Linked DNA regions of Zea mays. The main gene of each other region encodes a partner of the protein of the gene in region 2 in a complex. Links are inferred from orthologs where the notes say so. Each region holds a gene or a part of one and is shown on either strand. Other genes may lie near its edges. The genes, in order: NAD(P)H-quinone oxidoreductase subunit O, chloroplastic; NAD(P)H-quinone oxidoreductase subunit S, chloroplastic-like; NAD(P)H-quinone oxidoreductase subunit N, chloroplastic; Photosynthetic NDH subunit of lumenal location 4, chloroplastic; photosynthetic NDH subunit of lumenal location 1, chloroplastic; NAD(P)H-quinone oxidoreductase subunit T, chloroplastic; NAD(P)H-quinone oxidoreductase subunit M, chloroplastic.

Region 1 (2,985 bases), on a different chromosome or scaffold from region 2:
TATAGAGTGGTGATAAATGCATGCAATTCAAAATTAGATGGAGAGTACAGGCAAAGGCGATTCACGATATGGTGGCTCATAACTGGCTGAGGTACTTATCAGCAATCCCGCGTGCGGCGTGGAAGTTAAAATTTACTAGATCGGAGGGCACAGCCAGAGGGACATTTGAGAGTTACCAAGTCGAGGGACACACAGCACGCAGACATGAGAGCGAGACAGGGATATTCTTGCACAGAGGAATGGAAATGGAACAGACATAGGACGAGTATTCGAGCAGTAAATAAAAGCAAGGGCGACGCACTTGTCGGACGTCTCGGTGCGGTACGTGCGGTCGCCGAGAGAGAGGCACGCGAAGAACTTGTCCTTGAACTGCATATCCGCCTGCGCCCGGAAACCGAACAGGAGGATCAACCATGGCGAGTCAAAGTCAGAGTCAGAGAGGCAGAGACAGTGATGCGATACGAATCGAAACCCACGGATTCCGCCTCGGCTGGCCGCGTCGAAGCGGGGAGCGAGACTCGGTGCTAAGGAACATGCGCGTAGCAGCGGAGTTCGCAGCGCGCGGCCCACGTACCTTGGCTATCCGGACGCGTGCGATGCCGGCGAACTCGTCGGCGGCGAGGGCCTTGGAGGAGACCGAGTCGTCGCCGGCGCCGCGGCGCAGGCGGTTGCGCAGGCGGCGGCGGAACCGCGCGAAGCGCGAGGGCAGCGCCTCGCCGGCGCCGGCGCAGGCAGTGGGCCGCGACGCCGAGTGGCCCATCCGGACAGGTTGGTGGGGACTGGGGACGAAGACGGACGGGACGGCGCGGCGCGGCGCGGCGCGCCTTTTGCGGGACGGTGGTGGGCGCGGCGTCAGACAGACAGACAGACGCCTAGGCAGATGGTGGTTGGAAATGGGCCAAAAGTAGAGTCCCTTTTGAATCCAGGCCAACCGCCTGCCTGCCTGCCTGCCCGCGCACGCCGGTTCGTCGCCCGGCCGCGGGCCCCATCGCCACTTTGATAACTCGGTGGACCCACACGTCAGAGGGGTTTTGGAAGGTGTGTAAGGATGGAAGTCAAACCTGTGTTGATGGCGCTGGTGGGACCGGACAAGGAAGATCCACCTGCGTGCGCTGCGCACTGGGGGGGCGCCTGCCTGGCTCTTGGATCCACCCATTTCCCATCGTCGTCTTCTTTTTCTGAATGGGAATCTCCACTTCTTGGTGGTGGCAGGTCATGACAGCAGCCAAAGTAGATGATGATTCCCCCCCCCCCCTCTCTCTCTCTTGCGCTTGCAATGGGAAGCAAATGGCCAACCAATAGCAAAAAGGCAGCCGTGTATCGATCGCCTTATCCGGGTCCTGTGGCACTGGCACACCGCGCGTCCGGATTTGGCTGAGTAGCTGACTAGCTGAGCGAGCAATCCATCCCTTCGCCCGCCGCACCATGGAAGCCCTCGCCTCGGCGCCTCGGGCGCTCTTCCCGCGCGCGTGCCCAGTGGCGACGCCGGCCGGCCCAGCCCGGCGCCGCTCCGCCGCTCCTCACATCTGCAGGGCCTCCGCGGCGGCCGGGGAGGAGACGACGCCGCCGCCGCCGCCGGCGGCCGCTCCCAAGAAGATCCTCAAGAAGAAGCCCGTCTACTCGAGTAAGACGACGACAAGACCCCCCCCCCCCCCCCCCCCACCCCCCCCTACTTCTCCCTCTAGCTCTCGCGCGCGCGGCCATGCATGCATGATGAAACTGGCTGAGCTTTGCAGTGAAGAAAGGGCAGATTGTGCGCGTGGACAAGGAGAAGTACCTGAACAGCATCAATTATCTGTCAGTGGGACACCCGCCCTTCTACAAGGGGCTGGACTACATATACCAAGACCGCGGCGAGGTCTTGGATATCAGGAACTTCGAAACAGGAGAATACGCCCTGGTAATGAAAACTACTTCCATCCGCGCATGCTGTGTTCAGAGTTTCGTCATGCTTTCTGCCTCCACCATACATGTTCAGAGTTTCAGACCAACGCGCGCGTGCATGCATTTCAGATCGCTTGGGTGGGGATCCCGACGCCACCGGCATGGCTACCAACCTACATGCTCATCAAGGTAGCTGATTCATCCCCAGTTGGATCAATCTGTACGTCATGCACCACTCGTCTCACCTCGCTCTCGCTCTCTGTCTCTGTGGCATGTGATTTGTTGCATTGCAGTCGGACAAGCTCGACTACGAGAGGATATGATGGCCGGCCGGCGGCCTCGCAGGGCACCGTAGCGCCGCCGCCGAATTCATGCTTCATTTCGCATCAGGAGTCGGCCAAGCAGGACACACCTCTTGTTGTTGACTTGTTGTAGGTATATACGTACATGCCAGTATTGCCAGAACAGTCGACAGAGGCAATCTGAGACCTCAGCTGCTGGAATAATCAGGAAGTAGATCGAGAGCGACGTACGATGACGAGATTCATAATTGCTGCTGCACATCACTTCTTTATGTTATTTAAACTCACATTTCATAATTAATACTAATAATATATTGTCTCCGTTCTTGAATATTTGTCTCGTCGATAGTTTATTTTCGAATAAAAAACGACAAAATAAAAAAATGATAGTGTACCGATTATGAAGCAGCCACAAACAAAGGTTTATAATATACCTTTCCAGCATTTATATTATGGGTCAAAGTGTATCATCACGCACACGCCTCTGTCTACACTCCGCAGCTAGCCACTGCTGAAATAAACAATGTACAATTAGTCAGGGAGGGAAACAAGGTTGAGCCATCTTTAGATAATCTCTAAGACCGTGTCAACCAACTCCCCTATCTCATCTCATATCACATCCCTTATTTCAGACTTTACTCTATAAACAATGATAAATATTGTTATTTACAGTATCATGTCCTCTATTTTAGGGGATCCACTGAAGACAGTCTAAGTTAGTGTTTAGAATGGCTCGATGCCAAGAAACGACTTTGTTCGAAAAAAATAGGGAGTTGGATGGTTCAAGATTTGATCATAT
Region 2 (2,921 bases):
AAAATGAACATCTTTCCATTATATGGCTCAGACCGACACATCTTTGCATCGAGTGGTTAAGCATCGGATAAGAAACTTTAGCACAAATCCTCTTCATATAAACCAAACATACACATTGTAGACTTGTTAACCAGATCCATACCATCCTGCCTTCTGTAACTCAGTTCCAGAAGTGCTCAAGTGATCAACAATCGAAGCAAAAGAACACTGAAGATAAACCTTGATGCCAGTTAAAACCGAATGAAAAGTAATGATTTAACAACACGGCGACATAGTGGCTAAATTGACAATTTGATCTGCTCTAACCAGTTTCATGCAAGAAAACATGTTCTAGCTAAATTGGCATCCTAATCCTACTTGATAACCATTACAGCTACAAAATTTTAAGTGCATAATATGGCCATAACATACAGATCTCAGAGAACTGAAAGTCTTGTGGCATCCTCATTGTTATCATAATTAGAAGTTAATAATCCAAGAGAAGCCATCCAGGTCAAATGTGATCAAACGTATGGCAATTCTTCCATGCCCCAATTCACACTAACATTCAAACTATATACTTCATAATAAGAGTTATATTATCGTTCCTTTTTAATTAGCTCCAAATATTTTATTTGAGCTGTATACATGCATACATACAGAGGATGTGTATAACAGGAACAAGAAGCCTGGTCATGTCGCCGCCGCCGCCGCGCCCTCCGGTTCCTTCTTCTTGGCCGCTTCGTCCTCCTTATCATCATCGTCATCCTCGAGCTCCGCGACAAGATCCTCTAGCACCACGGACTTGGGGTTGGCCATAGGGGGTCCCTTCTCCCTGCCCTCGAGCTCGTCGAGGTTGAAGGTGATGAGCCTGTCCCACACTCCTCCCTCGAAGAGCACCGCGACCTTGCCGTCGCTGACGCGCTGCACGATACCGCAGTACATGTGGTAGGCGTTGTTGGGGTTCTTGACCAGCACCACCATGCCGGGCAAGAACAGCGGCAGCTCCGGCGGCCGCGGCGGCGCGGAGAGCGTGGCTTGGGGCTGGGATTCTGATTTCTTGGGAGGAGGCGGGTTCTTGGCTACGAAGTCCTTGAGGCCGACCTCACCGCCAGGGAAGCCGCCTGTGAGGCCCATCATCTCCTTCTCGAACGCGTCCGGATCAACCGCGGGCGGAGGAGAATCTGTCGAAGGAGGAGGAGAGGGCGCGGGCGAGGAGGTGGTGGAGCCGGATGCGAGTTCTTTGCGGACGCCGACCTCACCATTGCAGAGGCCCCGACCGCCGAGTATTTCGGCGACGCGGAAAGAGGCGGAGGGAGGTCGCAAAAGGAGGCGAGGGTGCGGGTGGTGTGGCAGCGGCGGCGGGCGGAGGAATGAGGGGCTGGTGGGTGGCGGCGCCATCGGAGGAGTGGAGATGAGCGCCCGCGAGCGAAGCAGAACAGACAAAGTCGGGAAGCTGTGGATGAGTTTGTACAGAGTGAAAAAGAAAAAAGTTGTGGATGAGTGGCGGTGGAAAACGGAGAGGGGATGAGGCGTCAGCGCCACGTGGCCCTGCCGCTATGTTGTGTGTGGCGGTACTGAACCTGAATCGAGGGGGTTGACGTAACCGACAGAAGTTTTTCTGTCCTGTTTTTTATTATTAGGGTTAGTATGGAAACTTTATTATTAGATTAGATTAAAAATAAACTAATTTTATTTGAGAAAATAAATTTTTGGAAAAAAAATAAGTTTTTCAAACTAGCTCCTACATGAGAAAAAAGGTTTTCCGATCATATTTACACATGCATATCGAACTCTGTATTGGAGAGACTGAAACAGGTTATTTTAATTTAAAATAATTAAAGCATCTTCGAGAGCTCTTTAAAAACTACTTAGTAAACCAATAATAATTATATTAAATAAATAAAATACTGGTAAATGTACTCGTGCATTGAAATAGAAGAAAAACTATTAAATATATTCACACAAAATGAGGATGTGAAATGCTATGTGCGTATTTATATTTTCCCTTTTCCGCAAAGTTTAATGTGGCTCGTTTATTTTATGACTAGTCAATGTTTTTGCGTTTACGACGACAGCTTTTAGGACGAGACGATGTATCATTGCTATCTTCTGTATACATACTCACTTTCATATACAAATCCGTAGCTTACGTCATGGTCGCGATAATAGTATCGCTCGCTACGCCTGCGCTTCAGCTCTCTCACCATCTCATCTTTCTCGACAAGTCACTGTTCGTGGCAGCTCCGGCTCCGCTCAATTTCCACTTTGTCCTCTCTAAGACTGTCTTCAGCGGTTACCCCTAAATTTGGCCCCCTATATCTCACTCACGTGTCACGTCAGCGTTCTCTTTCCCCCTATATCTTAACCCTGTACAGCGGTTCCCCCTAAATTTTTCCCCTACACCCCACTACAACCATAAAATATCATTTTTTATACCTTCTTTTTATCTCCTATCAATTTTTCATTTACTAATAATTGGAAGTAGGCCCACGTAAACAGTGTTAGAGGGGGTGAGAGATGCACGACAGAATGAGGGGGAGAAAGAAACTTGCTAGGGGGAACGGCAGCGTAGGGTGCTTGATAGAGTTAACCATTGAACGTTTTAGGGTGCTCCTGTAGCCGCTATCGTAGGGGAGGGGGCCTTCCGGCGGTAAGCGGTGAACACAGTCTAAGCCAGTGTCTGTCCCTCCCCTTCCTTCTCTCCCTTCCATATTCTAATCCTTCATATGGTTGACGCGGATCATTTCCTCCTTTCCCGTCTATAAATTAAATTTTATTTATAAATTATATAGTTTTTATCCTTAGGTTTATGTTATGTAATTTATGGCATGTGGCTATGGCGTTTGCGATGGCATGGGGGTTTGCTTGTGCTGTGTGCTCTGCTCGACAACTCCATAGAAAAGTGAATTTGCAGCGGTTGTCTTTTTAGGTGAATAGAA
Region 3 (3,393 bases), on a different chromosome or scaffold from region 2:
GTATTGATGTTCATCTAATATACATCTTTTCTAACTGTAGATTGGATTTTTGTCGGTGATTTTGGTGCCGCACTGCAGATTAAGAGAGAAATTTCGGTATGCATGTTATTATGAAACATTTCTAGTATTATTACTTATCCTCCATATTGTCATCATAAAACTAGTTTTATCTTGTGAGTTGTGATCTAATCTAGTGATTTAGCTTTTATAATGTTGCTCCACCTATAATTTTATCCTGCGTTCGCCACTGGTCTCCACGACCGTCCTGTCATGCGCGCCATCTTTTTCCTCTTATGTTGTCACCACCGCGAACTTCCTCTATAGCCTTGCCTAGTGGCGGATAAGGAACAAACTAAAAGAGGATTGTTTTTCTAGTGACCAGTGTCCGATGCAACAGAAGCTAGTCATTTAGAACATAAACACGGTCTTCAAAATATAGCTTTGACCAATATTTTTGTAAATACAAATAAACTCTTAATATATTTATACTTTTGTAAAAGTGATTTTTAAGATATATATATATGTATATATATATTAGATTTCAAAACTATTATTTATAGTCAAAGTTTTATATGTTTCACTCAAACCTTGTCTAAAACGACATCTTTTTCAGGACCGGAGGGAGTACACAATTGGTGAATGGAAAAAATATCGTTTGAATTTTTTCTCATTAATATGGCTGGAAAAAAATAGATGATGAGATATAGATGATAAAATTTAGAGGTTGCTGCTGCTGAAGGCATGAAAAATATACATGATAGAATCTTTTAAATGGTGATGTGAAAGACTAGAAATATTATCTTAGTGGATAAAATTTTGGAACCCTGCTGGGACAGACTAAGCACGACCATCCCAACAAATGATGCACAACATCCATCTTTCTTTAAAAAAAGCAAAAAGAGCGCGTGACCTACTTTACTAACTGTTTAATTTAAAAGGTTTTTTAAGCTGGTGTCCTCAAATCGTTATATGCCTAAATATTTATTTAAGTTCTTTATATTTTAATTTTTCAAATAACTTCTGAAGTCAACGTGATCCACACCGAAATTTTACTCCCTCCGTTCTAAAACAAATGCATTTACGTGGGTTTCCAGTTGATGACATTCTTTTGGGACAGTTTAGACTTTGGAAACACAAATCACCTTCAGAATTGGCGGGTCTGAATAAACTAAAGTTTCTAAAATAGGCCTTAACAGGATTAATGATCTATGTAACTTTTAATGCATTTTAATATTTTGTTTGGATCTAAAGAAAATTCACGTATCCGTACTGTGTGCGATCTCTGAGTAGAATCTGAATACAGATTGGTAAGTGGTAACACATGTACTCTGCTCTTTCAGTCTTGGGCAGTTCGGCTGACAGACCAACCTACGGCCTGGATTGGAGACTTATCCGCGACCCCTCCTCCCCACTTCAGCTTCAGCGCAAGCCATCTTCCCGCCACAGGCTCAAAAGCAATCAAGCGACTCCTCCCACAGTCCCACTTCCACTCCCACCCACCCACACGCACGGCCGCAGGCAGCAGCACCATGTGGTCGGCAGCAACGGCGGCGGCGGCGCGCGCGGTGTCCGTGTCCCCAGTCCCGGCGCCTTCGCTCCTCAGCGGCCGGCGCGGCGGGTCGCGGGGCGGCCGGGGGTCGGTGTCGGTGCGCAGCACGGTGTGGGACTTCGTGGGCGGCGACCTGGTGCGGCCGGACCTGGGCAAGTGGCTGGACGACGTGGAGAAGCACAAGGCGCTGGCCATCTACCCGCCGCACGAGGGCGGCTACGAGGGCCGCTACCTGAACCGCCTCCGTTACCAGGGCTACTACTTCCTCGACCTCTCCGCGCGGGGGCTCGGCGACCCGGAGACCACGCTCACCAAGGTCCACCCCGTCTGCCCGGTACGTAGCACGCCTTTAGTTTCTTGGGAACGTATCTCGTGCTCACGCGACGTCCGTGCTCATGTGAGCACTTTAAATCGTGAGTGTTCCTTCTTAATCTAACGATCATGCTGCTGGCCAGGAACACTCATCGTTAAGGTGAGAGGACTTAAGTGAATAAAAAGCACTAATCGTTGGATTAAGAAAGAACACTCACGATTTAAAGTGCTCACATGAGCACGGACATCACGTGAGCACGACATACGTTCCCTTCTCTCTTTCTTTGCTTGTTGTTGCTGCTGTGGCTGTGCCGTGTCCTTTCGTCGCGTGCGGGAACCGAGCGGTCGATCGACGAACTGACTCGATTGGAGTGGCGGTGCGGTGACTGCAGCCTAGCCTCGGCAGGCAGCCGGTGGCGCGGTGGTACTTCCCGCCGGAGGTGGACTACAGGCTCAGCCTGCTGCACCCGGACGCCAAAGGCCTCGTCGTCTGGATCATCGAAGCCAAGGTGAGGTGCCTGCTTACATCTACATGCACGCGCCTCCATCGATCGGCACACCACTGACGAGTGCTCTGTTCCTGAACCTCTTCTTCGGGCCTCTCGTCTGGTCTACGTGCAGGTTCTGTCCAAGGCTGAGCTGCAGTTCCTGGCCATGCTCCCGGACATCCGCCCCAAAGTCAGGGTGATCGCAGAATGCGGCAACTGGTACATGCGCTTCCTTCTACCTCCCTCCATGTCTAAATTTCCCACACGGGACCACTTGTGGCTAAGGCCTGATTACGTACGTGTGGCCCTGTTGCACGCGTGCAGGAGAAGCTTTGTTTGGAAGCCACTGAAGCAGATCGCAGGCCTCGAGCCGGACCCGGACGCGGAGGAATGATCAAGCAAGCAGGTCTAGCTAGTTGTCTACCAGACTGGCTACTGCTACTGCTACACTCTCCAATTGCTTCTGGGACATCTCTCCCTGCCATTCCTGCAGCTTTGCACTGAATGAGAGAGGCAATTAATAAAGATATACATACATTTTTTTGGCACGAGTGTCAGAAGAGAAAGAATGCGAACCATGTACAGATTTCCATACATGTGAATAGTTCACGGCCGCGACGCGTTTAGGATTCTCAGAACCCAGGCGCACAGCCGAACACGAGAGCGCAGGCACACGAGATCACTGTCCTCGTCTCCATCGCGTTGTGGATCGGCGACATCATTGCCACCTTGGTCAATGAGCTTGCATTCTTCCTTCACCATTGATGCTCAGGTAAGCTGAATTAAAGAGCGCGCTGAAAAGGGTCCACATTTCGATATTCTTGACGTGTGAGTTGGACACGAAAGAATGGATCGCTTCCGCACGAGTAGAGCGAGGAAGTGCTTTCCCCTCACACAGAAGCAACGAACATAAGATGAATGAATTAACCCAAAAAAAAAACGCATATCAGAAACTAGAACACCACATGTGGATGGGAGGTAAAGAAGTTTCTTCGAGGAGCCTTCTTCAGATTCTTCCCCTATCTTCTAATTTTCTATCCAAAA
Region 4 (3,399 bases), about 170 Mb from region 2:
TCCGAAATTTTCACTTCTACGGTGCCGAGATTAAAAGATGATTGCACCTGACAGCTGAAAGCTGCACCCCCAAAAAAATTGGTGTAGATTTTTCCCATCAGCTGTTATCTTAACCAGGTCCTATATTGTACTTTTGGTTGGCATTAGGCAAAGTGGTTCACTTTTTGTATTGCGTTGTGTCGTTATATCATCAAAACGTGAGGAAAAAAAAAAGATGCTGGTGGCCGCAGCTAGCGACGTAAATTATAGGATGGTGACGAGTGTGTGTATCCACTGTCAAATCCTAAATATCTTTCTTGAGCCTTATAATTTATCTAAAAAAAGTTTTTTAATACCCAAACTTGTTTGTTCTTCTAAATAGTTACTAGACTTTTGGCAATCCATATTATCTTCCTCTTTGGAACAATAATAGATGCACTAAGATCGTGTCTAGCAGTTACTCACATGGTTATCCAAAACACTGTTATGCACAGTAGATTGCACTATCTGTGGAGTGAAATTTGAATACGGAGATGAAGATGGATAAGCTATTAGAGATATTCTAATAAATTTTGTCTTTATACCATAGTATACTTTGCAAGTAAATAATAAGAATCAAATTTAATAGAAGGTGTACCTTTATTCTTGTTCTTGCAGTACTGCTATAAGTACATAACTTGCTTGCATTAGTACATAACTTGCTTGCATTTTGACCGGAACCCATCATTATCCTTCACAAAAGTAGTTTTGCGACTTATAAAGGTCACCTCGATATTCTTATGGTGTAAACTAATCCCGTTTTATTGAGAGAAAACCTTTGACCATCAAGCATTTTAGGCCTAGTTTAGATACTCTTGGAAGAGGGGGTTGAAGTGCATTGAAATGTATCCAATCAAAACAGACAACACTTGCCATGTCATCGATCACGACCTGCCACGTCAAACGGGGTCGCATATCAGCGTATTTGTCCGCGGCAGGGAGATTTACACGGTCATACGGGTTGGTTTTAGAAACAAAATTACTCTGATGTTAATTTTTAGAAATTGATTTAGAAAATGATTAAAATAAGAAAACTACGTGGGCTGTAGACTGTCCCGAAACTTGCGGCTCGGCCCGGTAAAACCACGGGCCTGCTGCTGCAGTGGCCGGCTGAAACATCCAGAGCCCATGCTGCCTCCGCGCGACGAATTTCGGGGCGTCATTATAAAGACCCGAGCCTGCGCGCCTTGCAGCCACAGTCTGGGGATAATAATCCACACTCCACAAGCAGCCATGGCGCCACCCATCACGTCCCTGTCGTCTCTGATGGCGTCCAGCCCAATCCCGACGCCGCCGCCGCCGCTCCCGAAGACCAGCGGCAGAGCGCTCTCCGTCGCGCCCTGCGGCTCCGCGTCGTCCTCGTCGCCGTCCACTTCCTCGACTCCTCATCCGGTGGCGGCGTCGGCGTCGGCGGGCAGGAGGGGGCTGCTGGCGCTGGGCGCCGGGTTCCTGGCCTCGGCCGCGCTGCTGTCCCCGGCGGGCGACGCCGGCGCCACGCGCATCGAGTACTACGCGACGGTCGGGGACAAGATGTGCGACCTGAGCCTCGTCAAGTCCGGCCTCGCGTACTGCGACGTCGAGGTCGGCACCGGCGTCCAGCCCCCGCGCGGCGAGCTCATCAATGTCAGTACCGAGACCACCGTCTCTTCTTTCCTGCATGCCTTGCGCCTTCCTCTGACTTAACCTACTCTGTAATAGTACAGTGGTCCATTTCCCTTCTGCACGAGTAACTCAGCAACATATGCCGCCATCCTGTTCTGCGTTCTGTGTGCTGCTTGCTTCGGATCCTAATTATATTCGTCCTCTCGATGGTCATCAGGTGCACTACACCGCGAGATTTCCCGACGGTACGCTGTTCGACAGCAGCTACAAGCGCGGGAGGCCACTGACGATGCGCATAGGCGCAGGCAAGGTGTGCATGTATAAGCATCCATTGTCGCTCACTGAAAACGACGTTCAGTTTTCATGCCAGTAAAAAATGATGGTCTGTTTCTTTCGCGTTCTCCGCGTGCAGATCCTCCGAGGGCTTGAACAGGGGATCAGTGGCGGCGGCGGTGTGCCGCCCATGCTTGTTGGTACGGACAGGAACTTGAGCAGTTTTTAGCTGTGCATTAAATATAGAGGCTTTGCTAATTTGGCTTGCTGTTCCATGACTGATGACTCCGTTGCAAACCTGCCTCAGGTGGAAAGCGCAAGCTGATGATACCTGCGTCACTGGCGTACGGGCCTGAACCGGCAGGCTGCTTCTCAGGTCGATTTTCAGAACTGCGCTAAATGACTTCGTACACCATAGATAAGCAAACTGCTCTCGCTCTAGAATTGTCAAGGAGACTGCTTCTCTAGTTTTTTCTTTTGTTTTTCTTTTTTTGACAGGAGACTGCAACATCCCCGGAAACTCCACACTTCTATATGACCTTTTCCTCGTCGGGATCTACAAGTGAGCCCTCGATGACAGGGAATGTTCAGAACCTAAGAGCAGAGACAAGGTCTGTCTGATATGTGTGCCGTGCACAGCGTTATTCTGAACTCGCCTGGTTTTCTGTGACTCACGTCCTTCTTTCCAGAGTAACCGATCGTTTTCGTGTGTCACACATGGAGGGTTTCAGGAGGAATTCTTGGCGGTGAAAGCACCTGCAGAGGCAGAGCCACTTGCAGAAGCTTCTGTACTCCAGAGAGCTACCTGGATTGAATAAAATGATGATATATATAAACCATCCTTGTTACGTAATAACGCCATTGTGGAACTTTGTAAAGACCAATCATATTGTTGACTATATAGCAGTTTGATACAGCCAAAGCGAGCAAGTTATCGGAGGTGTATGTCACATGCGCCACCAGCTTTGCTTGCACAGCCGATACGGAATCGTGAATTTGTTTGTGTCAGTCAGACTGTCAGCGTGACTGGCGAATGGCGTCAAACCCTTCAGCATTCGATCAATCATGCCGACTAAACACTCACGATTCGGATGTGCAGAGAGGTCTCGCGCTCGTGCCTGACACATGTGTGCCCGTAGTAGCTTGGAGCAAAAATTCTCATCGACCGGTTCAGACGGTGCCCGCCTCTGCTGTCTGCCTGAATTGGGGAGGCTGCTGAAGCAACAAAGGCGAAGCTAAACCACTGGCACCATTTCCATGGGTTGTGAAGACGTAGATTTGCAGAAGCGAAAGCGTAAGATAGGACCAAGCCGCATTAGCCGTTGGAGCGCCACATCGGGATCGGGAAACTATTTTGCTTGTGAGAGAGTATCACTGTCACATCACTGGGATGGTTGGGCTTGGGTTATAGGTACTAAAAAAAGTTCCAGTGCAATTTGACCTCACCTCTTTGGCTCTATGTCATTGGTGGTTCCTGGGAGCGCCGAGAGCTGTTTCCTCGGGCCT
Region 5 (3,784 bases), on a different chromosome or scaffold from region 2:
TGGCCACGCTCGCACGGAGGAGGATGCAAGAAAGGGACGAGGCCAGGAACCAGGCGAGGATGCTGCTCGCGGACCTCCAGGCAAGGAACGCCCGGATGAAGGCGGCGGTTCCCGGAGCATCGTGCTCCAGAGTCGCGCGGCCTGACGCGTTCGCCGCCACCGGCTACGAGCACATCCAGGCCCAGGCCCAGGCCCAGGCCCAGGCACTCGCTCCTGCCGCGTTCGGGCCGCGGGGGCAGCGTGCCCGTGCGGGAACTGGCTACTACTGCGTTGCGTCGTCCAGCGGCTTCGGCCACAGGAGCATCGACTCGTCTCTGGACACCTGCGCCGTTCAGCCGTCGCTGCTTGGCTTCGCTTCCTCGAGCTCGAGCCAGGAGCATTTCGACCCTGACATGTTCTTGGTGGACGTCGCAGAATCGCCGCAGGATGTCGTTCCGGTTCCGGCCACCGCAGACTCAAGCCAGGGGAGAAGCTCCGGCTCCGGCTCCGGCACTTATGGTCATAGTTTGGCGAGCAAAAGGCCTTGCAGTGAAAGGAAGTAATAAATCATCAGCTCAAGCTGCAGCACGTCCTGCCACGGGCCATGGCCATGCTGCCTAAATCCTAGGCCGGTGCCATGTTAGTGCTTGCTCGGTAAAACTTATAAGATTATTGATGTGTTGTGGATTTGAATGGCGCCTAGTGTCTTTTACTGTGTTTGGTTTAAGGTCAACATGGGATGAGGCGCCCCTCGATTTTTTAGCATCACGCCGCCACCAAAAACTACTCTGGTGTTTACCTCGTTCGTACGTGACTCTCATTCAAACACTATTGAAACTATTTAATTAACTATCAATTAACTAAGGAAAAATCAACCAATTAGTTAAGAAAGGAAACTAACAAACAACTATCAATTAGTTAAAAAAGGGAACTAATTGATCAACTATCAATTAGCTAAGAAAAAACTAATAAATCAACTAAGGAAAAAAACAAATAAACCTAGCTGCATTATGCAACAGGCTTACTAGCATTGAATAATTGTGGCCGTTGTTGTATATCGCTTATCATGGTGTCATGAAATTATGTAACCTGGAAATTTTGTTTTTTTGGCATAAAAATCACTGTATTCAGAACAGTTCGTCTTGGGTCATCAACGACCTACCCACCAGAAGGGCTGTTTGCCTGTTGAGAGGGACGCCCATTTTTGTCAGCCAGTGCTCTGTCCAAGACAAAGAAGCAAGAGTGCTGAAATGAGAGGATAATGAGCATGCTGACTTGGCTGCCTTGGCTTCCACCCACACACTCGATAGGGGAAAAGCGAGCCCTTCCACGGTTCCACCACCCACTCGATAGTGGAAAAGTGAGCTCGAGCGTGTCCAGCAGCTATGGATAACTGACGATGGGGGTAACAAGCTTCACAGAACTCTCCCTCGAGCTCAGCGCTACCCTGAACAACTGAAGCCGAAATGGCGAGCCTGCAGAACCTGGTCTGCTCCGTATCCAAACAAGTACGTGCTCAAGCCCCTTCCTCACTGTTTTTTTCTGGAATTCATTTACTTTCCCTGCAGTTCTGAGGAGTAATAACAGCTTGAACCCGTTGCTTGTTTCCAGCTGGCTGTGCCAAATTGCGCGGCGACTACCAAACTGAACAGGGCTCCTCCCTCAGCTGTGGCGGCGAGCTCGATCCAAGGATCTTTGGACGACACCAGTAACCCCCCCTTTTGTTGTTGTTGTTGTTTTTTTTCCGTTCATGCATCTAGTGGTCGACAGAATCCTGGTTCATAACATCTCTCCGCTTGTATAGAGGTCACGAAGAGACGGCTAGCTTTGCTTGGTGCTGGAGCGTTAGCCACTGGCCTACTGAGGACAAGCTCTGCTGCGTTCGCTGAAGGTAACGATCATCCCTATATAGATGGCCTGGCATTGTATCTATCAGGATCGGACTAGGACGGTGTCCTCGAGCAGCGTTTTTTTTGCGTTTCTTACCTGTTTGACACTGATCGGAGCTGTTCAGAGGTGCCGAAGAATTACAAGTCGTACGTGGACGCGAAAGACGGGTACTCGTACCTTTATCCAGCTGAATGGAGGGTAGGTTGGCGCCATGCGATCGATTCTTGAACAGTTAAGAACTGTAGGGTGATTTTCATGGTGCCTTCGTTCCCTTGTCCCTGGATAGGATTTCGACTTCTTGGGTCATGATTCTGCGTTCAAAGACCGCAACCTGGCCCTTCAGTGTGTTCGTGTGGGGTTCATTCCTACCGAGAAAACAGACATCCGCGACCTAGGACCGATGGATGAGGTGGGGGTTTTGTTTCCTTCTTTCGACTATGTATTCTTCTTCTTTTTTATGGAAAAACTATGTGTTCTTCACTTTGATTAGGCACAAAAGATAAAACACATACTCTCTCCTCCGTTTAAATTATATACGTTTTAGCTCTGATAATCACTTTTGCTGATGTGATGAATATGTTTTTTTTTCCACATTACACCAGGCCATCTTCAACCTGGTAAACAACGTCTACGCTGCCCCGAACCAAATACCGTCGATCTACGACATGCAAGAGGTCTGTCATCTGTTCATCGCTTTATGCATGCAATTATCATTTGTTTGGAGTTGCCAAATCTAGTTGGATAACTCTGAGCAAAAAAATAAAAAAAATGGTGCTAGTGAAATAAGCGGCCTATCCTACTATTTTTGCAGCGCACCGTGGACGGCAAGAACTACTGGACGTTTGAGTACGATCTGGAGGCTCCGGGCTACGGCGTTTCTGCGTTTGCGACGGTCGCCATTGGAAACGGTATGATACCTATGAACGGGAAACGTTCATGTGTTTCGCTTCGCGTTGAAATAGAGAGAGATGAAACTCTGTTTGTTTGTTTGTTTTTTGCTCTAACTAGGTCGGTACTACACGCTGATCGTGACCGCGAACGAGCGCCGGTGGAGCAGGCTGCGGAACAGGCTCAAAGTCGTCGCGGACTCCTTCAAGATCTCGGACCTGACGGCGTGATCGCTTGCTTCTGTGACGGCCTCATGAGCATGGTGCGGCAACTTGTTTAGCGAAAGATGGGGGGGGGGGGGGGGGGGGGGGGGGGGGGAATGTGGTTGCATTGCTGTCGGTTCGTGGCTCCCAAAATTACACGCTCCGTGAACATGTCGGTGCAACACTAATATTACAGAGGCGAGAGACACCACAAGCACGAGCCTCTGAAAGAATGTTTCAGCTCATATATTACAACAATTACAATGCCCTCCAAACTTGCTAACTATTTCCAGAATTACTTGGATCTGCAAGCTATTTTTTTTATTTTTTTGTCAAGAAGACCAGGTCGGCTTACTCGGAACAGCAACAGGGCGGCAACTCCCAGCATTTTTCATGTGCCGAAAAGGGCCCCTGACTGAGTGGCCGCACAAGGAAACCTGATCATCCCCTAGGATAATTTACACCTAAACAAACTCAAAAGAATAATTACATTAGCCGATGCTGGCGAAGGCCCTTGCCAAAATGGGGTTGCATCAATCTAACATATAGACCGTTCTGGTCCATCAGAGAGTCATGTGTGCCCTGCTCAACTATCCTACCGCCATTCAAGACGACGATGTTATCAACATGCTTCATCATTGCCGCCCTGTGCGCAATGAGAATCGTTGTCTTGTTACCCATGACCAGAGTGTCTAGAGCTTCTTGCACCACTCTACTCGATTCAGACTCGATCGCAGAGCTGGCCTCGTCCAACAGCAATATAGGTGCGTTCTTCAAAACCACCCTAGCGATGGCAATCCGTTGCTTCTGTCCAGGTGTCAGAT
Region 6 (2,944 bases), on a different chromosome or scaffold from region 2:
CCCAATCCAGGAACCTCCCCTCTTGGCCACGTCTGTATGTCTAGTGTCGTCATATGCCATGCCATGTGACCACTCCGGGCCCAGATGCGCCATGCGCCATATACCCGAACCCCCTAGCCCACACACGCCCGTGAAACCGCGAGGGTCGGCTCTGATACCACTTGTAACACCCCGTCCAATCCCTGGACCGGCGGTACTTACTCCTGGCAGCTCTCTAGGATCATATATTGTCCCCACATACCAACACAAGTCTTTTGTGCGCACTTTGTCCTCACTCATGCGCACCCGAGAAAACTTCCCGGTCGGTCACCCATCCCAAATTGCTCCAAGCCAAGCACGCTTAACTTGGAGGTTCTTTCAAGATATGCTTCCGAAAAAGAATATGCACCTTGTTGGTATGATTACACTATTAATTCTATTAAGCCTTGGGCCAGGACATCCCATCCCAGGGGCCAGGATATCACAATTTGTTCGGTTATTTTCAATCTATAGATTGGAAGAGATTGATACGTATTGAGAGAGATTTTGACTTACTAAGGATTGAAACCCTTTAATCACCTTCAATTTATATGGATTGGCATAGAAGGGAAGACCCCTCTCCCTCCCTTTCAACTACACTAGTTACCAATGGCACAAATCTCGTAGCATCTGCAGTGGCTACCAATGGCACAAATCATGTCTTGTATCGGGCGACAAAACCGCTAGTCACAAGAGTGCTGAGGCCAAAGCTGAGAGACTGGAGACGGCAGTAACGAAGATCCAAGCATTGTTGCCGTTTCAAGAAGACCTCTCCCTGATGATACCGTGGAACGCAAACCTGATGCGCGTTATCATGGGAGGCGACACCCAAAATCCTGAATTACAAAAACATTATTAATTTAATCACAGTTAAAAATTACAACAAGGGGATGTAGCTCAAATGGTAGAGCGCTCGCTTTGCATGCGAGAGGTACGGGGTTCGATCCCCCGCATCTCCAAACTGTTTTTTACCCCCCTTGTTTTATTTTTTTTACCTCTTCTCCCTCATTGTCACTTGGTCAGTACTCAGTACTACTCAGGATAACTGTGCGGACGAATTCGATTGCGTACCGTCTAAACTGACAGCGCAAGTGTTCGTGCGGCGGGAAAATTTCTGCAGTTTCATTTCTCGTTCGGAATATGGTTACCGTTCCTTTTTCTTTTTGTACATGTGGCCATTGGCTAAGTGAACAGCGACACCTCATCGCCTCGCCCTCCTACCACGACAACTGGAACGTGCGAGCCTCATCACCTCCCGACTCCCCTCCACGCCTTGGAATGCTGCCTGCGCAGACGCTAACACACACGTTTCCCATGGCAGCGTCCACGGCCTCGCGCATCTTCACGCCCTTCCTCCACCGGCACCAGCGGCGCACGAAGGCAGTCGTGGTCGCAGCCGCGAGCCCGCCCGACGCCGAACCGACTCCTGCGACGGCGGACGGTGCAGGGCCGGGGAAGAAGAAGACGGTGGACACCAGGATACACTGGTCCAACCCCGACGAAGGGTGGGTAGGAGGCAAGGCCAAGAAGGAAGGCGACGGCCGCGGCAGCAGCAAGAACGAGCCGTTGGGAGGGAGGTTCGCGGACCTCATCAACAACGCGGCCGAGTCTCACTACCAGTTGAGTTCATCTCCAATCCATGCTCATATGTCCTTTTGGATTGCCGTCCAGCTGTACATAAATTTGTAGAGCTCTGTTCGAGACACTGTCATCATCATGTCAATACTTTGTTACTAACGGCGACACATGACTGAACTGCAAAATCTATCACCCAGGTTCCTTGGCATAGCGCCAGAGGCGGACATCGAGGAGATCAAGACGGCGTACCGGCGGCTGTCCAAGGAGTACCACCCGGACACGACGACGCTGCCGCTCAAGGTGGCGTCGCAGAAGTTCATCCGCCTGCGAGAGGTGTACAACGTGCTGAGCAAGGAGGAGACACGGCGGTTCTACGACTGGACACTGGCGCAGGAGGCCGAGAGCCGCCGCCTGCAGCAGCTCAGGTCCAGGCTCGAGGACCCATACGAGCAGGACATCATCAACTACAAACCCGTGCCAGACATGGTTGACCGCCTCGGCGGCAAGAACATGAAGCTTAGCGATCAGGCCATGACTGCGCTCACCATCGATATCGTTATCATCATCATCTCCATCTGCTGCATCATCTATGCTGTTTTCTTCAAGGAGCAGTACTGACAGCAGCATACCAGCAACAGCAGCAAGGTTGCAGGAGTGTACCATAGACAGAACATTATAGGTAAATTAACTGATAATGCCCTAAGATTGTCTTTTGGGATGTTATCATGCACTGCATCATGTAATGTCCAATAGAATAAGGTAGGAACGACGATTATTCATGGTTTGTTGCCAACAATCCTATATTTGCATAATCAAATCATAATTCCAGTATAAATCTGTGACATCATAATTTATTGCGTCAAATCAAAAGACAATCTGAAAAGAGGGCAAAATTCCCTAACAAGATATCTTGTGCTCTTGCTGTACTCTACTTGGAACTTGGTTAAATAAGTGAGATGGAACTGGAGGTAATCTCCCATGCGATACATGAAACTACAGCATGGGTTGTAGGTATCAATCATCTAATGCCTAACCTTCACACTCAATGATCTTGACAACAGAAGAATCACCAATCTTTTCAAAGATTATCAACCTGTCGAAAGGCTTCACTATGCCAACCGACCGACCATAGCTCATCGCAAGTTTTATCCCATACTCTTCCTTTGTTAGCCCACCAGTTTCGGCCTATTACAGAGTTTTAAGCATTCATGGTTAGCCATATGTTTTTTTACATGTAACTCTAATGTTAGGGAAAAATACAATTGCTTACATACCTCATCAGTACTCCCCATCAAAGGGTACACGCCTCTCACTGCGAAACATTGTCTTGCCTGAAAGTGGTTTAATA
Region 7 (3,118 bases), on a different chromosome or scaffold from region 2:
GACGAAGTACTCAGCAGCAGCATAGCATGGTGGTGTTCCCTAATTTTAATTATTTAGGGCTAGTTTGGGAACCCAATTTCCTAAGGGATTTCTATTTTTCCAAGGGAAATTAGTTCATTTTCCCATGGAAAAATAGAAATCCCTTAGAAAATTGAGGTTCCCAAACTAGCCCTTACTGTATCTTTATGCTTCTGTAGAACATTGAGCTAGAAGACCAATTCAGACCATGGAGCGATGAATTTAAAAAGTACCGAGTTGTCATGGAATGTTTGTAGAGGGTTTACCCATACTAGCCATTACTCCATCCAGTTCAGAAAGTCGTTTGGTAAGTTAGCGCGGTCGTCTCTGTGCAACTCTCTGACCTCATGTGGTATTCGGTGATACGTATCTATTAGCAGAAACTATGGTATTGTGTACTGTAACCCAATTCGAGTGCCCTAGAAACAGAAGGGGTATCTAAACTCGAGCAAACCCTTATTTTGCCCAGACTCTCGTTATGTGGTTATTACTGTGCAGGGGTGACAAAATTCTGCCAACAGAATCGGTGTATGGCTTTGCATCTGCGTAATATGAATTCTGGAATGCTCTGGATCGTATCTGGGACTGCAGAGTATACATCTTGCTCGGTAATCGAATGGAGAGAAACCATTCTTTTAAGGGCGTTGGATAAGTACATTCTATATCTTTTCTGGTATCTGGTTGCTGTTGAACTTGATGCGAGGCTTGCCCATGCTGAAATTGAGGACTCTGGACCTCATGTTGTACTTGATCACCCCGTCGTACAGCAGTTTGCGGATGTAGTGCTCAAGGTCTGACCCGATCAACCGAAGTGTGTACTCCGACAGCTCAGCCCCCTGTTTCAAAGCAGAAACGAGCTCAGCTATCCTCTTACCGATCACTTCTTTTGCCAAGACCGTATGTTTTATTTTTTTGGCAGGAGTGGCTCTAAAGTAGATGAAAAGGGGGGAAATGACCGTACGAATTTCAGACAACAAGAGATTCAATTCAAATTTTTTTTATCTACTATCGGAGCTGTTGGAGTGGGAGCAACTACAGAGGTTACCTCGTAGTGATCGACGAGGTCCTGGAACTCGTTGAAGACCATCTGGCAGGCCTCGTCGGTCCAGGCGAACTCGTCCTGGGGGTCGAGCATGAGCGTCAGCTTGTCCATCTGCGTCTGGTCGAACGCGTTGGTCACCGGGTCGATGTACGCAGCGTAGATGCGGACGTGCCGCGTGGTGCTGCTCAGCCACTGCCCGCCGTACTCGCGGCTCATGTTCTTGCTCTCCGCCAAAGGCTGCCGCGGCAGGGACTGCGCGTCCCCCTTCCTCGCCTGCTTCTCCGCGTCCTGTGGCGGCGGCACGCTCGCCACCTCGGCCTCCTCCTCCTTCACCTGCTGCTCTTGCTGCGCTCGCGCCGGAGGGACCCTGACGCTGATACGTCCCGCCGTTTTGGGGCTAGCGAACCGACGCCCCTGCAGCGGCAGCTTGGCCGGGGGTAGAAACGCCGTGGTCGCCATGTTTGTGGTGGCCTCTCGCCTGCTTCTTCGCCTGTGCTTTGGCTAGTGCTGGATTTTTGTCGTTCCGCGCGTGCAGCAGCTTAGCCACAAGCGGAGAGCGTGGCTTGTGTCGCGTACTTTTTTGTGTGTGTGGATAAGGGCCGTTTCTGCCACTGACTTCGGTTTCGGTTTGCACTTTTGCACAGCGCACCATTGGGCCAAGCAGGCTTCCAGACTCATTGGGCTCTGAACGCTGGTGCGGCGGTTGCCTTGCGATTTCGGGGTACGCGGTTTGTCGTCAGTCTCGCACAGAGTACTGAAGAGCACCAGCTTTCATCGCCATTGCACAAGCATTACGCACAACACTACGTAAATTCAGCTTGGAAGACGCCTAACCCGGCAATCTCCGAACCTGTACATACACATTACACTACGTACGGACACTTGCAACATATGTACAATAGCGTGCAGAACTGCCTGTTATTACAGTATTGTTACAGCTCACAAATCTAATCACACGAATCAAATAATCGTGCTAAGCAACCAATGAGCAAGCACCACGAACTAGCCATGCAAGTTCGTTTCCACCGGCAGCAGCAGCGTATTTGGAAGAAGGCCGGTGCTGCCTGCATCTGCGAGGGGTATCACGGGGAGCTTCTCGCAGTCGCAGACCTCGACCACATTGCCGTCTGGGTCGCGGAAGAAGAGCTGCTCCACCACCGTCTCGCCGTCTCACACCCGCGCCGCCACGAACTCCAGCTCCATGTCACCCAGCCTCGTCTTCATGAGCCCCATGTCCGTGCACTGCACGCCATTGCCAAACGAGCACACCCGATCAGCGGGTGCTTACTGGTTACTGCTACTACTAAGTACTCGTACTAACTAAGCAGGTCAACTCTGCGCGAGAGCAAGGATCCTCTCTGCTTGGATTGGACTAAATTTGGCTGCCTATCCAGTTTCTTAATTCTGCGAGAGCGCTCTGGTGGTCACCTGAAAGGAAATGTGGTTGCCCTTGGGGTTGATCGCCGGCGGTCTTGCAGCTGCCGGAGCGTTGGGCGACGAATCCGAGCCGCGCTGCAGTAGATATATCCCCATGCCGTACCTGTGCATCCTGGAAAGCACGCAACGAGTTGACCTCACCTTGGCGAAAATAATAATAATAATAATAATAATAATAATAATAATAATAATAATAATAATAATAATAATAATAATAATAATAATAATAATAATAATAATAATAATAATAATAATAATAATAATAATAAATCGATGGACAAGAAACAGGCACTAGCTAGGCAGTGGTATATATGTAGTGCGAAATGGCTGCTCACCATGCTCCTCCGAAGTCGAGGGACGCCGGGCGTTTGACGAGCTCGAAGCCAAGCACGCGCTGGTAGAAGCCGACCGATGCTTCCACGGACTCGCACTGGAACGAGACGTGGTTCAGGCGGACGAGGGGGAGGGCGGGAGCAGGGCCATGCGCGTCATAGCTGCGCGCATCCTTCTCGTGGAAATCCATAGAGGTTTTGCGGCGGAGAGTCAACGCAGCCGTGTTTTGTCGGAAAACAAGGTTTGATCGGTGAAACAACGACACTTCTCGTCCAGGCCAAGAGGCAG

What was found.
Region 1: NAD(P)H-quinone oxidoreductase subunit S, chloroplastic-like (region 2) and NAD(P)H-quinone oxidoreductase subunit O, chloroplastic share a complex: the UniProt entries of both Arabidopsis thaliana proteins name them as parts of the chloroplast NDH complex. The link is inferred for Zea mays from reciprocal best matches to the Arabidopsis thaliana genes NdhS and NdhO.
Region 3: NAD(P)H-quinone oxidoreductase subunit S, chloroplastic-like (region 2) and NAD(P)H-quinone oxidoreductase subunit N, chloroplastic share a complex: the UniProt entries of both Arabidopsis thaliana proteins name them as parts of the chloroplast NDH complex. The link is inferred for Zea mays from reciprocal best matches to the Arabidopsis thaliana genes NdhS and NdhN.
Region 4: NAD(P)H-quinone oxidoreductase subunit S, chloroplastic-like (region 2) and Photosynthetic NDH subunit of lumenal location 4, chloroplastic share a complex: the UniProt entries of both Arabidopsis thaliana proteins name them as parts of the chloroplast NDH complex. The link is inferred for Zea mays from reciprocal best matches to the Arabidopsis thaliana genes NdhS and PnsL4.
Region 5: NAD(P)H-quinone oxidoreductase subunit S, chloroplastic-like (region 2) and photosynthetic NDH subunit of lumenal location 1, chloroplastic share a complex: the UniProt entries of both Arabidopsis thaliana proteins name them as parts of the chloroplast NDH complex. The link is inferred for Zea mays from reciprocal best matches to the Arabidopsis thaliana genes NdhS and PnsL1.
Region 6: NAD(P)H-quinone oxidoreductase subunit S, chloroplastic-like (region 2) and NAD(P)H-quinone oxidoreductase subunit T, chloroplastic share a complex: the UniProt entries of both Arabidopsis thaliana proteins name them as parts of the chloroplast NDH complex. The link is inferred for Zea mays from reciprocal best matches to the Arabidopsis thaliana genes NdhS and NdhT.
Region 7: NAD(P)H-quinone oxidoreductase subunit S, chloroplastic-like (region 2) and NAD(P)H-quinone oxidoreductase subunit M, chloroplastic share a complex: the UniProt entries of both Arabidopsis thaliana proteins name them as parts of the chloroplast NDH complex. The link is inferred for Zea mays from reciprocal best matches to the Arabidopsis thaliana genes NdhS and NdhM.

The regions. Positions count from the first base shown.
Region 1 is NC_050103.1:163,552,443-163,555,427, reverse strand, and holds NAD(P)H-quinone oxidoreductase subunit O, chloroplastic, read left to right. Parts: upstream 1-1,273; 5' UTR 1,274-1,425; coding exon 1,426-1,624; intron 1,625-1,736; coding exon 1,737-1,900; intron 1,901-2,013; coding exon 2,014-2,073; intron 2,074-2,177; coding exon 2,178-2,207; 3' UTR 2,208-2,485; downstream 2,486-2,985. Other genes in the region: Phosphatidylserine decarboxylase proenzyme 2, read right to left, coding at 302-381, 575-760. UniProt on the Arabidopsis thaliana protein: NDH shuttles electrons from NAD(P)H:plastoquinone, via FMN and iron-sulfur (Fe-S) centers, to quinones in the photosynthetic chain and possibly in a chloroplast respiratory chain.
Region 2 is NC_050100.1:42,420,301-42,423,221, reverse strand, and holds NAD(P)H-quinone oxidoreductase subunit S, chloroplastic-like, read right to left. Parts: upstream 1,422-2,921; 5' UTR 1,381-1,421; coding exon 673-1,380; 3' UTR 501-672; downstream 1-500. UniProt on the Arabidopsis thaliana protein: NDH shuttles electrons from NAD(P)H:plastoquinone, via FMN and iron-sulfur (Fe-S) centers, to quinones in the photosynthetic chain and possibly in a chloroplast respiratory chain.
Region 3 is NC_050098.1:176,087,645-176,091,037, forward strand, and holds NAD(P)H-quinone oxidoreductase subunit N, chloroplastic, read left to right. Parts: upstream 1-1,462; 5' UTR 1,463-1,529; coding exon 1,530-1,883; intron 1,884-2,253; coding exon 2,254-2,370; intron 2,371-2,482; coding exon 2,483-2,568; intron 2,569-2,673; coding exon 2,674-2,743; 3' UTR 2,744-2,893; downstream 2,894-3,393. UniProt on the Arabidopsis thaliana protein: NDH shuttles electrons from NAD(P)H:plastoquinone, via FMN and iron-sulfur (Fe-S) centers, to quinones in the photosynthetic chain and possibly in a chloroplast respiratory chain.
Region 4 is NC_050100.1:216,381,329-216,384,727, forward strand, and holds Photosynthetic NDH subunit of lumenal location 4, chloroplastic, read left to right. Parts: upstream 1-1,232; 5' UTR 1,233-1,251; coding exon 1,252-1,641; intron 1,642-1,837; coding exon 1,838-1,930; intron 1,931-2,032; coding exon 2,033-2,093; intron 2,094-2,200; coding exon 2,201-2,269; intron 2,270-2,391; coding exon 2,392-2,459; 3' UTR 2,460-2,504; intron 2,505-2,582; exon of another isoform or gene 2,583-2,624; 3' UTR 2,625-2,899; downstream 2,900-3,399. UniProt on the Arabidopsis thaliana protein: NDH shuttles electrons from NAD(P)H:plastoquinone, via FMN and iron-sulfur (Fe-S) centers, to quinones in the photosynthetic chain and possibly in a chloroplast respiratory chain.
Region 5 is NC_050096.1:42,029,634-42,033,417, forward strand, and holds photosynthetic NDH subunit of lumenal location 1, chloroplastic, read left to right. Parts: upstream 1-1,261; 5' UTR 1,262-1,445; coding exon 1,446-1,487; intron 1,488-1,566; coding exon 1,567-1,687; intron 1,688-1,783; coding exon 1,784-1,870; intron 1,871-1,993; coding exon 1,994-2,067; intron 2,068-2,155; coding exon 2,156-2,278; intron 2,279-2,471; coding exon 2,472-2,543; intron 2,544-2,680; coding exon 2,681-2,777; intron 2,778-2,877; coding exon 2,878-2,987; 3' UTR 2,988-3,284; downstream 3,285-3,784. Other genes in the region: ABC transporter B family member 20, read right to left, coding at 3,447-3,784. UniProt on the Arabidopsis thaliana protein: NDH shuttles electrons from NAD(P)H:plastoquinone, via FMN and iron-sulfur (Fe-S) centers, to quinones in the photosynthetic chain and possibly in a chloroplast respiratory chain.
Region 6 is NC_050099.1:14,035,998-14,038,941, forward strand, and holds NAD(P)H-quinone oxidoreductase subunit T, chloroplastic, read left to right. Parts: upstream 1-1,185; 5' UTR 1,186-1,296; coding exon 1,297-1,637; intron 1,638-1,793; coding exon 1,794-2,214; 3' UTR 2,215-2,444; downstream 2,445-2,944. Other genes in the region: Pyruvate kinase 1, cytosolic, read right to left, coding at 2,626-2,781, 2,871-2,927. UniProt on the Arabidopsis thaliana protein: NDH shuttles electrons from NAD(P)H:plastoquinone, via FMN and iron-sulfur (Fe-S) centers, to quinones in the photosynthetic chain and possibly in a chloroplast respiratory chain.
Region 7 is NC_050097.1:23,630,826-23,633,943, forward strand, and holds NAD(P)H-quinone oxidoreductase subunit M, chloroplastic, read right to left. Parts: upstream 1,688-3,118; 5' UTR 1,520-1,687; coding exon 1,064-1,519; intron 855-1,063; coding exon 678-854; 3' UTR 501-677; downstream 1-500. Other genes in the region: uncharacterized LOC100502247, read left to right, coding at 198-275; uncharacterized protein, read right to left, coding at 2,231-2,302, 2,489-2,609, 2,833-3,020. UniProt on the Arabidopsis thaliana protein: NDH shuttles electrons from NAD(P)H:plastoquinone, via FMN and iron-sulfur (Fe-S) centers, to quinones in the photosynthetic chain and possibly in a chloroplast respiratory chain.